Linked DNA regions of Medicago truncatula. The main gene of each other region encodes a partner of the protein of the gene in region 2 in a complex. Links are inferred from orthologs where the notes say so. Each region holds a gene or a part of one and is shown on either strand. Other genes may lie near its edges.

The links.
Region 1: 50S ribosomal protein L4, chloroplastic (region 2) and 50S ribosomal protein L3, chloroplastic share a complex: the UniProt entries of both Arabidopsis thaliana proteins name them as parts of the 50S ribosomal subunit. The link is inferred for Medicago truncatula from reciprocal best matches to the Arabidopsis thaliana genes RPL4 and AT2G43030.

The regions. Positions count from the first base shown.
Region 1 is NC_053044.1:58,753,253-58,759,855, reverse strand, and holds 50S ribosomal protein L3, chloroplastic, read right to left. Parts: upstream 1,888-6,603; 5' UTR 1,806-1,887; coding exon 1,277-1,805; intron 1,176-1,276; coding exon 886-1,175; 3' UTR 732-885; downstream 1-731. Other genes in the region: UTP--glucose-1-phosphate uridylyltransferase, read right to left, coding at 4,719-4,751. UniProt on the Arabidopsis thaliana protein: One of the primary rRNA binding proteins, it binds directly near the 3'-end of the 23S rRNA, where it nucleates assembly of the 50S subunit.
Region 2 is NC_053049.1:1,015,881-1,023,653, reverse strand, and holds 50S ribosomal protein L4, chloroplastic, read right to left. Parts: upstream 3,034-7,773; 5' UTR 2,956-3,033; coding exon 2,121-2,955; intron 755-2,120; coding exon 717-754; 3' UTR 408-716; downstream 1-407. UniProt on the Arabidopsis thaliana protein: This protein binds directly and specifically to 23S rRNA. May play a role in plastid transcriptional regulation.

The DNA.
Region 1 (6,603 bases), on a different chromosome or scaffold from region 2:
TGTGTAAGTTAAGTACATCAGGCTGTATACTGCACTCATCAGAGAATAATTGAAAATGTGATATATGATGTTAGAGAGGTCAATACAAGGACATGTGTTTTGATGCAGTGATGTGTTTCAAAACAACATAGCAACATGGAAAAGACAAGGACAACTTCACTTTCTATTCCCATCAAAGTTATCTTCTACCAAACTCCATGTTTCTTCCTTCTACCACAAGCTCCATTGAAAAGGGAGCTCAAAGACACATCACACTACCTTGGTTCAAGAGTGATGGTGATGTTGGTAGTGAAAGTGGAAATGGAAAAAGAAAGGAGGCATTAGAGGGTGAAGGTTGTTTATTTTTTCATGACAAGTACAAGCTTTATTAACATCTAAATTTTGTATGCTGTTGGAAGTATGGCTATAAAGCAATATTTATAGGAAAAAGCATATCAGAGGCCATGTCTCTTAAGACAGTTTGGTTTAACTCAGGAACTCAGTGGTTGTTGAAGACAAACAAGAGAGTTTCAATACATTATATATCAGTTGAACAGAAACTTAAGAATATTCCTTGTTAAGCCCATGACAACAATGGGAGATGCATTAAAAATAAATTCAACTAGGGTTAAGGAAAAAGTTAATAGCATTAAAAACTTCCAGTTCTAGTTTAGAGTTTAGAACGACCAATTCCTTTGTGTCCATGAACTTCATGCTGCACCATCAAATTGATCAAATAGCAAACCAACCAATAAGTGAAAAAAAATGATCTGCCTAAGACATGATTTATTGTAAAACATTATAACATTGCATCCAATCTCAGTTACTGAGAAATGTTTGTTTTGATTGTTATTTTCGTACTTAACAGGTGAATACAGACAAGTAGTTAAGAAGGAAAAAGAGTAATTAATTCTTTGGAATGTTCTTGCCAACAATCTTGGCGGGGGCTATACGTAGAAGATTACCAGGCTTACCAGGAAGAGCACCTTTGATCATGATAACATTAAGATCTTTATCAATTTTAACAATCTTAAGCTTTCTGGTCTTCCTGTTAGTTCCACCCATCCTACCAGGCATCTTCTTTCCCTTGTATACGCGACCAGGTGTAGTTCCGGCACCAATGGATCCAAGTTGTCTGTGACTCTTGGAACCATGGCTCATTGGTCCTCTTTTGAAGTTATGACGCTTGATACCACCTGTCATTGTCAAAGTAAGTTCATACATTAGTGATAGATATTATTATCAACTTAACTTGGACACTAGAAGGGAATGCAAAGAGAGGGAGAGAGTTACAGACCTTGAAAACCCTTGCCGATGGTGGTGCCGGAGACATCAACAAGATCTCCTTCATTGAAAAGCTCATCAAAGACAAGGCGCTGATTAGGTTCAAAACCATCAACGGATTGAAGACGAAACTCCTGAAGATGGCGCATAGGAATGGCTCCGGCCTTTTCAAGATGACCCATTTCAGGTTTGGTCAATTTGCGGTCTCTAACCCTCCGGTAACCAACTTGTACGGCGTTGTAACCGTCAGTGGCGTCGGTTTTGATCTGAGTGACGATGTTGCCTTCTTTGAAACCGACAACAGTGACGGGAACTACTTCACCGTTAGGTTGGAAAAAGCTCATCATTCCCAATTTGGTACCCATGACACCAACACCAGCCTCTAAGCTCATTTTCACCACCATCGCTCCTCCTCTTTTTCTTTGGTGCTGCTGCAATTTCACAAATTGAGCAGAAAAAGAAGTTGAGAAGGAAAGTGAAGAAGAAGAAGAAGAATTAGAACAAGGTATTGAAATGGAGAATGGAGAAGAAATGATAGACATATTGAATCAATTGACGACGCTCGACTGTGTTTATGTTATCTATCTCAAGAGAGAGACAGAGAAGAGAAGAGAATGAAACACAACAGCAACAACAGCAAAGCTTATCTTATTCCATCCAATTTCATTTCAATACCCGACCCGCCCCGCACCAATTTCATTTTTTTTTTTTAAATAAACCCTCCATTAAAAAAAATTAAAATTAACTTTTTACACTTTTTTTTATTGGCTTCATGTTGTTAAAGAAAAGTTAGCCAACAAAAAGCTTTTCTAAATTGTGACATAGTATCAACCAAATGTTACACATTTAGTTAAAAATAATAATAATCAAAAGTCATACATATACATCTTTTTTAAAGGATTATACATATACACTTTAATTACCACAACATTATATCATTTTAATTATTCTTTTACTAAAATTCTAACATTCTGAAAAACTAAAATCCATGATCCCTACCACTTGTGTTTCCGCAAAATCAACTATGTATTTCTCGAACAACAATTCACGTATTGTTCTCAATTAATTTAAAGCTAACAATTGATTGTCCCGTGAACTTAGTTTGATTGGTAAAGATAATGCATAATATATGATTAAATGTTTAAACATGATAGTTCAGATAGAAACTTGTTTACAATTTATTTTATATTTCATAGCCATGTTTAAACATTTTTTAAAATATATTTTCCATATTTAATCTAATATTTGTTTTCGTCTTCTTTTATTTTATTCGTTTTAGTCTTATATCTTTCAAGACTTTTTTTGACAAGTCAAGACAAATAGTTATATTTGATAAATATACGAGAAAAGAATAAAATATCTATATGACCAAAATAAATGAATAATTGGTAAAAGATAAATGATAAAAATATATTTTAGCACTTTTTATTTCATTACTAAATGTATTTGTTTCAATCAACCTCACTTTCTTTCTAGTATTATAATATGGAGAAAACTTAGATACAATTCCTTAGGTATTTTTCATATGGTTCTTAACTAAAAATACATATTTTTTTGGATATAACAAACTTTGAGAAAATTATGGATTTGAGAAAATCATGGTGAATATAGTTAAGAATCATACGAAAAACACATAAGAAATTGTACCTAAATTTTCTCCTTACAATATATTACAAATAATTTAAGCCAAAAAAAATCACTCTCTCCAATTTAGTTTTTAATGTATATACAAAATAAAAATTAACCTCTAAAGTATATTAAATCCATCAATTTAATCTCTAAAATATATGAAATCATGTCAATTTAGTCTTAAGATCTTCCTAGCAAGAATAAAATCGACGGATATGACATACTTTTAAAACTATTTATTATACTTAAAAATGAAAATGAAGAGAGACTAATATATTATAGACTAAATTGATAGTTTTATTAACTATATTGCATAAATTTAAGTCTAAGAGTTATTGCACTCTTATAATTGTATTTTAAATTTAATTTTGAAAAATAAGTTTATTCACTATATTTCCACAAAAATATCATTAAAATAACTCAATAAATTTTGTTTAATTTTGACGGATGGAGTCTCTTCTCTCTCTTCACCATCATTTATAAAAAAGTAACATAAATTTTAAATCTGATTTACCAATGGACAAATGTATTGATTCACACATTGAGTTAAACCATCGACATCTCCACTAAATTCCCGTGTTCTGTCTTTTTTAACCTTAATGTTTTCTAGGATATGTATTAATGGAGTATCTTATAACATAGTTTGTGTGGGAGTATCTTATAACATTGAGTGAAATTACTCTCATTCCAGTGGCTAAAAGCCAAACTACATGTGTTTGCTTTCAATTATCATGACTGGTGGCAACACCCTATGTCTTGTATGGGTATATTCATGTAATCTTCTTTGTTTTTGGATCTGAAACCATGCTGGTTGCGTTTGCGCCACCGGTGAACTGACATTGTATTGATTTAAGTGATTCTCTTTTGCACACCTTGTGCGAGATGAATTACTTCTGGTAATTTAATTACATTTTGGCTTGTTCAAAAAAAAATAAAAATGGAGTATCTTATAAATATCCGTGAAGTATCACCATGCATATATGTTTCCATTTTTGTTTAGTATCTGCCTTCATATATCAAAACACACTCCACAGAATGTAATTTCACACATAACCACACATTGGAACACGAGAATACAAAACCAGACATGCAAACAAACATACCTGGGTAAGCTAGTTTTATCATAACACAGGATTGGCTTTGTTGAGCCAGTCTCAAGTTCAACCTTCCCACACAACTACAATTAGCCTTAGGCTAGAGCATTAAGTAGGTGGGTGTGAACTGAAGTGTGTATCTATGCATGATAAACTAGCAAAACACCGTGTTTCATCAGTTAATCTCTAGGAGTTTCAAAAGAAACCATTACGAAATCAGCAACAGTTATTAAACATTCCTACACAGATTATGATGTTTGATAGACATGAATGAGGGTGCAACATCAGACGAAAGAAAAAGTACAAACAGTAAGATTTTGTTGTACCGTCTGTATATAACAATAAGTCAATGCCGAATATAATACTTCCAATTAAATAGGATGAAAAAATGTCTGTTCTGTGGTCCAACTCGTTGTACAGTAAACAATTGATGAGACTATGTAGTATCAAGGAAAACAATCACTTTTACTTTTTTATTCATTACCTCAGCATCAAGCCTTTTTTTTATCTAAAAGCTAGAAAGGTACAAGGCCAAATAAGTGAGTAGAGACAATTATTTCATCACTGTTATGGCGCTTCCAAAACTTGTTATTTGTTTCTTCAACCTTTCGGTTCCCAGTAAATAGAAAAGCTAACTGATGGCGAGCTTTGTAACTGTATTGCACGACAAATCAAAGCATCTGGAGTCACCTATTCATTAGAAACAAATACCCCTCAACATTGGTGAACCATTCATTCTTGGATATCTGCAATGTCGTTGATCTCCTGTAAATTGGCACAAAGAAATTGTAAGAAAATTACCAAAAGAAAAAAACTGAGAAAAAGTTCATGTCACTAGCTGAAATTGTCATAAATGCTGGAAAATTAAAAGGCTTTCAATGATGCTATTAATTAAAGCTTGTTGGGGAATGCTTCATAATCCCCATGCTCTTCAGGTCAGCATGCTGAAAGGCATTCATTTAATGAATGTTCGTAGGCATACTGTTAGGAATGTGTACGTTAGGTGCAGGCTCGATAGAAATGGCCAATCCTAATTTAGTTGTATGTTTTAAATAGAGTAAGGGAGAGCAGGTGGCATTCGGTTATTTTGAACTGGTTGGTTGGAAAAGACTAGGCTCCTTGTTTCCTAGCAGTTTGTGGAAGTTCACAGCAATTCCCTTTCCTCCTTCAATTTCATTTGTATTTTCTGTTTTCAATGCATAACCAACTCAAAAGGAAGGATTATTCCCAGAGTTTTATTAATAAATAAGTCCTGTTCAGTATTAGTACGAATCTTACAAGGTTCTATCAACTGGTATCAGAAGTACACGATCCTGGCAGCAGCTTGATGTCTTCTTTTGAGTGTGGATGCTTTGGGGAAGACGACGGTGGATGAACATGAACGATTAATCTGAGTGTATTTTTCCTTTTCTTCTCTGTGTTGGTTAATACACGTGCGGTGGTATAATTAAGCATGTTAAGTGCAATTTAAAGTGCAGCTTTTAACGTGAACCGTTCATTTTAATCTGAGGGTAATTATTTGTTCCTGTCGCCTCTCACTAAATACTCCTCTCATTTGATATATATATATATATATATATATATATATATGAGGGCATATCAAGTGAGAGGAGTAATTATAATGAGAGATGAGAGGATCAATTGACAGTCGTTGGATTAATATCAATGGAAGGTATTAAGTTAGTCATTAAACATGCACTCACACACAATCTCTTTTATCTCCCTCGGTTGAAATGCTGTGTGCTGCGCAGTTTCATTGAAGTTTTGAAGATACATCACATTCTCTATTTTTTTAGGAACTGGCTAATTATTTGAATGTTGGCAAATCAATTTGATTTTTAGTAAATAATTTTTCTGTTTTAACTGAGAAATTACAACCACAGAAAACAAAGCTACCAGATCTAACACATGGCGACGACGGAAAGACATTGGCGACAACCAGATCGAACGACATAGAGACAACCAGATTTCACTTTGCAACTTTACTACCATCGAATGATGAAGAACACGAACGAGATGAAGGAAGATTAAAGATTTTGAATTCAAAATATCGAATTGCTTCAACATCGGTGAAGCAAAAATCCCTAATTTGTTCAAAAATATTATTTTTAAATTATAGATATCAAAATTCAATTTCATTCTGCAAATAGAAAATGGAGCAAGAGTAATCTTTTACCCTTGAGCTGCAATCATTACACAAGCGGTGGTTTTGGTATCTGGATGATGCAGATAGATGAGAGGACGGAAAAAGAAGATGTGAGTGTACGATACGGGGTGGACATGTTATCTTTTTAACAAGTGAATTAATCATAGCCATTTAATTTAATCTAAGGGCTCCTATTAAATCCTCTTATCTCTCATTATAATTACTCCTCTCACTTGATATGCCCTATATATATATATATATATATATATATATATATATATATATAGAGAGAGAGAGAGAGAGAGAGAGAGAGAGAGATGAGGGTAACAAAGGAATGGAATGTGTTGGGTTTTCAGTTGCAACAACAGGATGGTAAGGGAAGGATCACTGATAGGCACCTTAAATAGCCTACCGCTCAATTGTCATTCCTTATTTTCCTTGTCCTGTTCACAGAGATCTATGTAGTACACA
Region 2 (7,773 bases):
ACCATCATCATAAATAATAATAATAATAATAATATGGAAGGAAGAATCACCAATGAAGCAATATGACACCAACGGTGAGAGGAAAATAAGCTATTAATTTTGTTTTAACTAAATTAGGAGTTGATGTTTGACTGGGAAATATGTTTCTTGACTTCATTTGCTCTTTGTTTTTCTTCTTCTAACTTACAAATGGTTTCCTTTTCAAAGTGTAAAACATGGTTGAATGGGAAGACTTTATGAGGTATATGGCAGGAAAGTCATTCAAAACAGGCATGAGAGTTCAACAAACTTCTTTTTAGGGTTTAGGAATAGCACATTTAAGAATATGTAAGCATCACATGTTCTAGATTTTTGTCTATCCATTAAGTAGAAGCAGTACAAGAAAAGAAGTAACCAGATACAACTTCTTCAGAAGAAAGAAACTACATGCAACAACATTGATTCAAAACAATTGACTTATCCATTTACATGCATCTGCACAAAAGAGACTACAAAGCAACAAAATTGATTCAAAAAATTACTAGGTTACAACAAAATGTGATTGTAAATGAGATAAAGAAATATCCTTACATGCTACTTGAATTTGGATTCTAAGTGATGGAATGGAAAAAAAGCAAATACATTGGTACAAACAAGACTTCAAACCTTCTATACCCTGTATGAGCAATATCCTCTATAAAATGATACGATACAACCGTGCAAACAACTTTAAATCATCAATTCACCGCATCGGCACTTTCTTCTGCGTCTGGTCCTGTATCCAAATAGAAGAAAGCAATCAAGTCAGAAACCTATTATATTACTCAGACCCATCTTAAACTCTTCCACAATAATAAGCAACTCAAAAGTTACAGAGGGAATGTGCAGTTTAAGTTTAACCCAACCACCAACATGAATGTCCATACACACACACATGCACAATACTAAACAACTATCAAAATGAGTCAGTGAGATTTAGGTGACTCTACTCTGTCAGTGCACTAACTTCATTTCTTTTCAATAGTCTCAAGAATATAATTTTTTAAAGATACCAGCTCCAAAGTTAAAGCTAAAGCCAATGACAAATAAGACTACACAATGCAGATACAACAAGTTGAACAAACAACAGTGTTGAACTTTAATCTTATGACCATGGTTAATGACTCCAAATAAGTGAACTACTTATAATCTTCAAATTAAAACAAGTTCAGAGCCTTAACATATATGTAAAAAATAAACAATTACATCAGTAGTAACATCCTTCATATTTCAGAATGTTAACTTGAGAATCCATTTAGCAACTTAAACCAAATTTGAATTGATTTCTACCTCAATGAAACATTTTCAAATATCAGCAACTTAAACCAAATTTGAAATGATTTCTACCTAAAGGAAACATTTCAATTCAAATAAGTTAATTTTCTCTCATTTCACAAAAAAATTTACAAGCTACTATAATGCTTAAGGAATAAGTTTTTTACAAAATTGCATGATCAATTGGATGATCATGAGAAATGGAAACATATTTCAACTTATTCGAGAAACTATTTTTTAAAAAAACACAATCATTGTCAAATTCTTTTAATATTTCATTCTCCATGTTCAATAAAAGTTTATCCAAACTAACTCCTATCTAAAACGCAATGCCCAAGATTTTAAAAGATCTGCAACTATAGTTTTAAATAAAGGTCTGCGACTGAGATTTGGGGGGCTACATAACCATAACGGTCTTTGATGTTGTCAAAAACGCAATGCAACTGCAATTGAAGCCACACAGGCCGCAATATCAAGGATCTCTACTGTAAACACTATTTAAAACCCTTATCCCACCCACATTTGTGATCACAACATCCGAATTTGTAATTGTATGTCCCCACGGCCACAATAGTACCATCTAAAATTGACCACAGTTGTCAACATATCAACAATTGCACACGACCATAACCGCAACTTCAATTTAAAATCTAGGTCTATGACTATAGCACGCTAGCACCGACGCTTCTTACGGAAGGCAACATCAATATTGAACTAGTACTAATGTACTATACTATTCGAAAAACAAGGATGAATAATTCAAGATATAACGATTAACAATGTTATCACTAATCATCATTAATACTATTATAATACTAATGATTTACCTTCTTGGCTATCCTCTTCGACATAATCACCATCATCATCTTGTTCACTATCACCATACCTACCATTCAAATAATCCACAGCATCAGGAGTAAGAACAATCTTATCAGCATTCAAAACATCATACAAATTCAAAGTCCTCGGCGTCAAAATCTTCAAAGTCCCAATATTCCTACTAGCCAACAACACTTTCTCCTTCACCTCCATCATAAAAAACGTAACTTTCTCCGTCGGATCCAATCCCCACCTTTTCATCGCCGCAATAAACTCCTTCGTCTTCGCATTCCCCTCAAACTCATCTCCAAATTCCTCCACCACAACTGTATTCACCGCCGCACTCGCTACCGCAGTGGAAATCGCAAGCCTCTTCTCCTTCTTGTTAATCTTAATAGTCCAATCCCTTGGTTTCGGGCCGAAAATCACACCACCGCCGGGTCGGAGAGGTGTACGAATCGAACCCTGACGTGCTCGGCCGGTTTTCTTTTGGTTGTAGGGTTTTCGGCCACCACCTCTGACTTCGGCGCGTGTTAAGGTGGAGGCTGTGCCGCGGCGTTTGTTTTGAAGGTCGTGGATGATGGCGCGGTGGACGACGGCGCGAGAGGTGGAAGGAGAGGCGGATTTGACGTCGAGAGTTGATTCACCGATTTTCTCGCCGGAGAAGGAGAGGAGTGGAAGGGTGGCGAGTTTGCAAGAAATGGAAAGTGAATTAGTATGTGAAATTGAGTTTGAATTTGGAGTGAATTTCAATTTGGGAATTGAATTAGAAATGAAGATTGAAGAAGAGAAGAAAGAAAGAGAAGTTGAAGTTGGTGTTAGTGTTGAAGAGAGTGAAGCCATTTTTTTATTTTTTTTTGGTTCAGAGAGAAAAATTTGAGAGTTTTGCTTCTTTTCTATCCTATCTCTTCAAAATTGATTGGTGTGGTGTGGTGTGGGTAAGGATTTTTGTTTTGTTTTTGCTTACTACTATTTTTTATTTGATGGATCAACTTTATAATTTATAATTAAATAAAACTCATGAATTGTTTTTTAACTATACTATATCAAATCTACTATCCTTGAAAATTATATTAAAAAAGTAAACAAAGTTTGCAATTTCTTTCTATTATATTTTTGGTAAATATATAAAATTCGTCTATTAACTTAATTTTACTTCAAAAAACACTTATGACTTAATTTTTTATTATATAAAATGACAATATTGATTGTATCATTGTTAAGAGCACCAAATGATATGTAAAAGATAATTCCTCTGATATAGAACATAGAATGAGAACCTTTTAAGAATAATAGATGGAGAAAATATTATAATTTCATCGATGATTATAAAATAGAGATAATATATTATAGAGAAATGATATTTGTACAACCAATTTCTAATAACTTTTGAACAACTTTCTCTCTCATACTCACATTACATTCTTGTTATCTCTCTGCCTTTTTCTCTCTCTATTGATTTTGATCAATCAAAATAGAAAAAAACAAAGTTGTCATGAAAGTTATTTAGAAAAGGTGTACAAATATCACTACTCTATATTATAAGTAATATTGTTTTAGATTTTTTCCAATAAACTAGTGAGTCATCAATCTTCTAAAACTAATGAGTCACCACTAAATGGCAACAAATTTATTCCACTTCCTAAGTGTAGTATGATCATTTTAGACCTCCCTAATTTATTGGACTCAATTTCTAATCTCATTTCATTTCATTGCAGCTCATATCCTTGTTTGTATCATATCAACACTCTAAATTATAGTTTAATGATGGTTATACACTACACACTCTAAATTATAGTTTAATTTAATATTATTCGTCCCATAACTCAAATGAATCATATATTATCAGCATCTTACTCTTAATATTTTACAGGACAAGTCAATTAAGACAATTTCTACATAAGAATTTCAGATAAAGGATTGAGTGAATTTGTGAAGGAGCTTAACATTACATCTAGGAACAATGTATCCAAGGATTCTGTTGAAGTCATTGGCCAATGTTGCATTTGTTTGAAATCATTAATTCTTTGTAGGTTGATTTACCCTTGCGTCAAAGTATAAATGAGAAATATTATTTGAACAATCATTTGAAACAATCAAAATATATAAAGAAATGTAGATATTGGTAGAAGAACCAAAACAATAAAGAGAAAAATAAAAAATACAATGTAGGTATAAGAGAAAAAATTGTCACACCTATTATCACAAAATGACCATTCAAATATCATTTTTCAATATAAATAAATATTATGATGTGATATTTGTTAATGCTAAAACAATGTCTGGGCTACACCGTTTTAAATTGTTAGGAATTTTTCTCGTCAGTGTTGGGTTCCTTGCCATTCTTGATGGTTGCCCTCTTCTTGAATTTCTTGATTTGCACGTGTGTGCTTCTTTGAGTCAAAATTTAGAACAAAGGTGTCACGAGCAAATTAAAGATTTACGACCTCCAAAGCACTTTTTATATTATGATGATGGTGGTCATATTTATACGAAAAAACACTTTTTTAGATAAATTAAATAATTAATATATATATATATATAGTCACATTTGTATATCAAATACATTTTTATTTTTTATTTTGAAGAAGTTAAATTAGCTCATCCAAATTGGTATCGGAGAGAATTGAACTTGAGACATCAAGAAGGAGCACACTTTCAGGTTCCAAGTCAATACCACGAGGCTATATGTCAGATACATTAATTATTCAATGTATCTAAAAAGCTGCATTTTACTTATAAATGTGATCGGATGGAGTATGTGGACAATTTTGAAGATACATATATATGCTAATGATGATTGGGAGTATTAGACTGATTTATTATATCATTGTTTTCTTGGCATCACAAATGTTAGTGTTGCTGTTTTAAAGTAATTTGGTTGTAGGGAAAGTTTGATATTTTAGTTTTGAAATTGTTACAAAGTTTTCCAAATTACAAATTCAGAGGGACTAACTTTGATCAGCCTAGTTTGGAATGACAATAAACACAGATGTGTTTTGTTCTCTGCTTCTGATTACCGAAATGCGTTAGTTTTATACTTCAATTTTCTTTGTATGTTTCACTACGAGAAAGTTTTAGCATAATGTGTATGGTCACACAAAAGGTTTTCTGATAAATACTCCCTCCATCCTATAATAGATGATTTATTTAAAAATTTATATTATTGATCTAACATACTTTGACTGTATTTTTCTACTGATATATAAAAATAAATAATATCATATAAGATATTGTTAGATTCGTCTAGATGAATATTTTCAAAATATCAAATTTTATAATTTTTTCTAATAGATTAGTAAAGTTATTTAAGATCAAAATTGTACATTGGTGTGTGTGACAAAGTCAACTGAGTCACTTAGAGCATCCACATCCATACCACCCATATGAGTGGTATAAATGGGTCTCACGTAATACAATATATTATTTCACACTTCCCAATTATTTAAACCACTAAACTATATCTTCTAAATATCCATACCACTCTTCCAAAATTTTAAAATAGGTCTCACTCATCTTACAATATATTTTATATTATATTTCTTAAATCATTTTAATTCAAAAAAGTAACATCATAAGCACTTTTTATTATAAAAGAACATTAAGATCAGACAAAGCTACCGTATCAATGCAGTGCTACGGGATCAACTATTTACCACCCAAAAAACTCAATTAGTGGTGTTTTTCCGGACACGCTCTGTTCATATATACATATACTACGATCGATATTGATGCTCTTAGAGCATCTCTAATGGGAGGTCTTTACTTAACAAGGATCACTCCCTGTTAAGGCTTCTCATTGAAGTAAGGATTTTATCTCCTAAGCAACTAACGAGTTTAAAAGAAGTAATTAAATATGTACTATTTGGTCCTACTTACAAAATAAGTAATATTTTAATAATTAATAGTTGTTTTAAATATTATTTTATCTATTTGTCAACATTTTAAATAAAATGTAATTCATGCATATTATTATTATTTTTTAATGAAGGAATGTAAAATTTGTAATATTAATTTTTCCATTTTCAAATATCCTTGCCACTAGTGTAATGATTGACACCAACATGCTCGTCTTTCCGCTTGTATGGACCAAAATAATTGACGTTTAAAATCTTACCTGTTTATTTTTAAAAATAAATAAATACGTTATTTAACTGATACAGAATGATATAGAGGAAAAATAAAAGCAAATGATAAAATTAAGTGATATCAAACTTGACATATACTTTGTTTTAACTCATCATAAAGAAGTTTGACCGAGGGGCCATGATATACTTGGAAGAAGAAAAAAAGGAATAATATTATACCTGGACCAGCATCAAAAACCCAATCCTAAAAAAAGTTAGACTAAGACCATTTTTAATAGGAGGGTTTTAAACATTTAAGATCCGGTATCTATTATGTATTTTTATTGGGGAAAAACTTTTTCTTTGTTTTATAAGACCCGAGGTCTTACTTAAGACCTCCAATCTTAAGCGGGACTCACACTCTTTTAATATTAAAAAATTGAAATGTAATTAATGATATAAAGTTATTGGTAGTTGATTAATATGTCTCATTTAAGAAATTTGTGTGAGATCTGGGTTGGAGGGATTGAATGCTTATTAGATACTACTATTAAAAAATTATAAATGAGTGATGTGTACACGCGGGATCCATTTAAGAACCAAAAAATTGTTGTCTCGATTGTGGATGCTCTAAGGGGCCATGAAGGAACATCATTAAGGCCTGGAGAAGGAATCAACCACAAACAACCCTCCAACCGGAAAATTTCGACACATAAAAAACATGAACATCTTACAATCAAACTCAGCATCACCCTTAAGGTACACTTTACTTTTACCACTTTTTTACACATAACGCCACCTCTCTCAAATACTAACTTGAACGTTGGAGTGTTAACGTGACGACAAACACCTTTCTCCTCTGCCGTGAAGATTCAACATCCACTACACCGGAGCACATATCAGTTTGGTACCTGCGAAAGACATGTCTTTTCTGAATCTTATAGCATAATCATATGTTTATAATTTGGTTTTGATGTTGAATGAACAATCGCACACACATGTTCACTCTATTATTAAGGATTGTATTAGTTTTAATGTATATTTTCATAGTTTAAACTATTTGCATATTAAGCGTGAATCCGACCAAACTGTTCATTATTTAGCTAAATATGTTCTTCATAATCCGGATCGCGTATGAATTGAAAAGACTTCCGTTTGTATTTCTACACTCTTGCCATTTGATATATTGTTAATGACATTGTCTTTAATGTAAAAAAACAAAAACTATAACAAACATAATATAAAGTCTTATATTTTTTAAGAGAGTTGATATTCATCCCGAAAAACTTTATCCCGAACTTATCCCAAAAACAGTTTTAGCCAATTAAATTTCTCCCAATGCATAAAACAAGGGAAGGCATGAGGTGTAATCTAATAAGGATATTTAGCAAATACTGGATCCTGAAATCTTTGCGAGATTACCCACCGTCATTCTCATTTTTAAATGAGCCCAACAATATGACAATTTTTATAGACAAATATGTTGAAGGGCCTAATTGAAAGAAATAGATAAATTTGTTCAAGAGTATAATTAAAAATAAAAATGTCAATCCAAAACAATATAATTTTTTCATATATAGTTTAGCAATGTCTT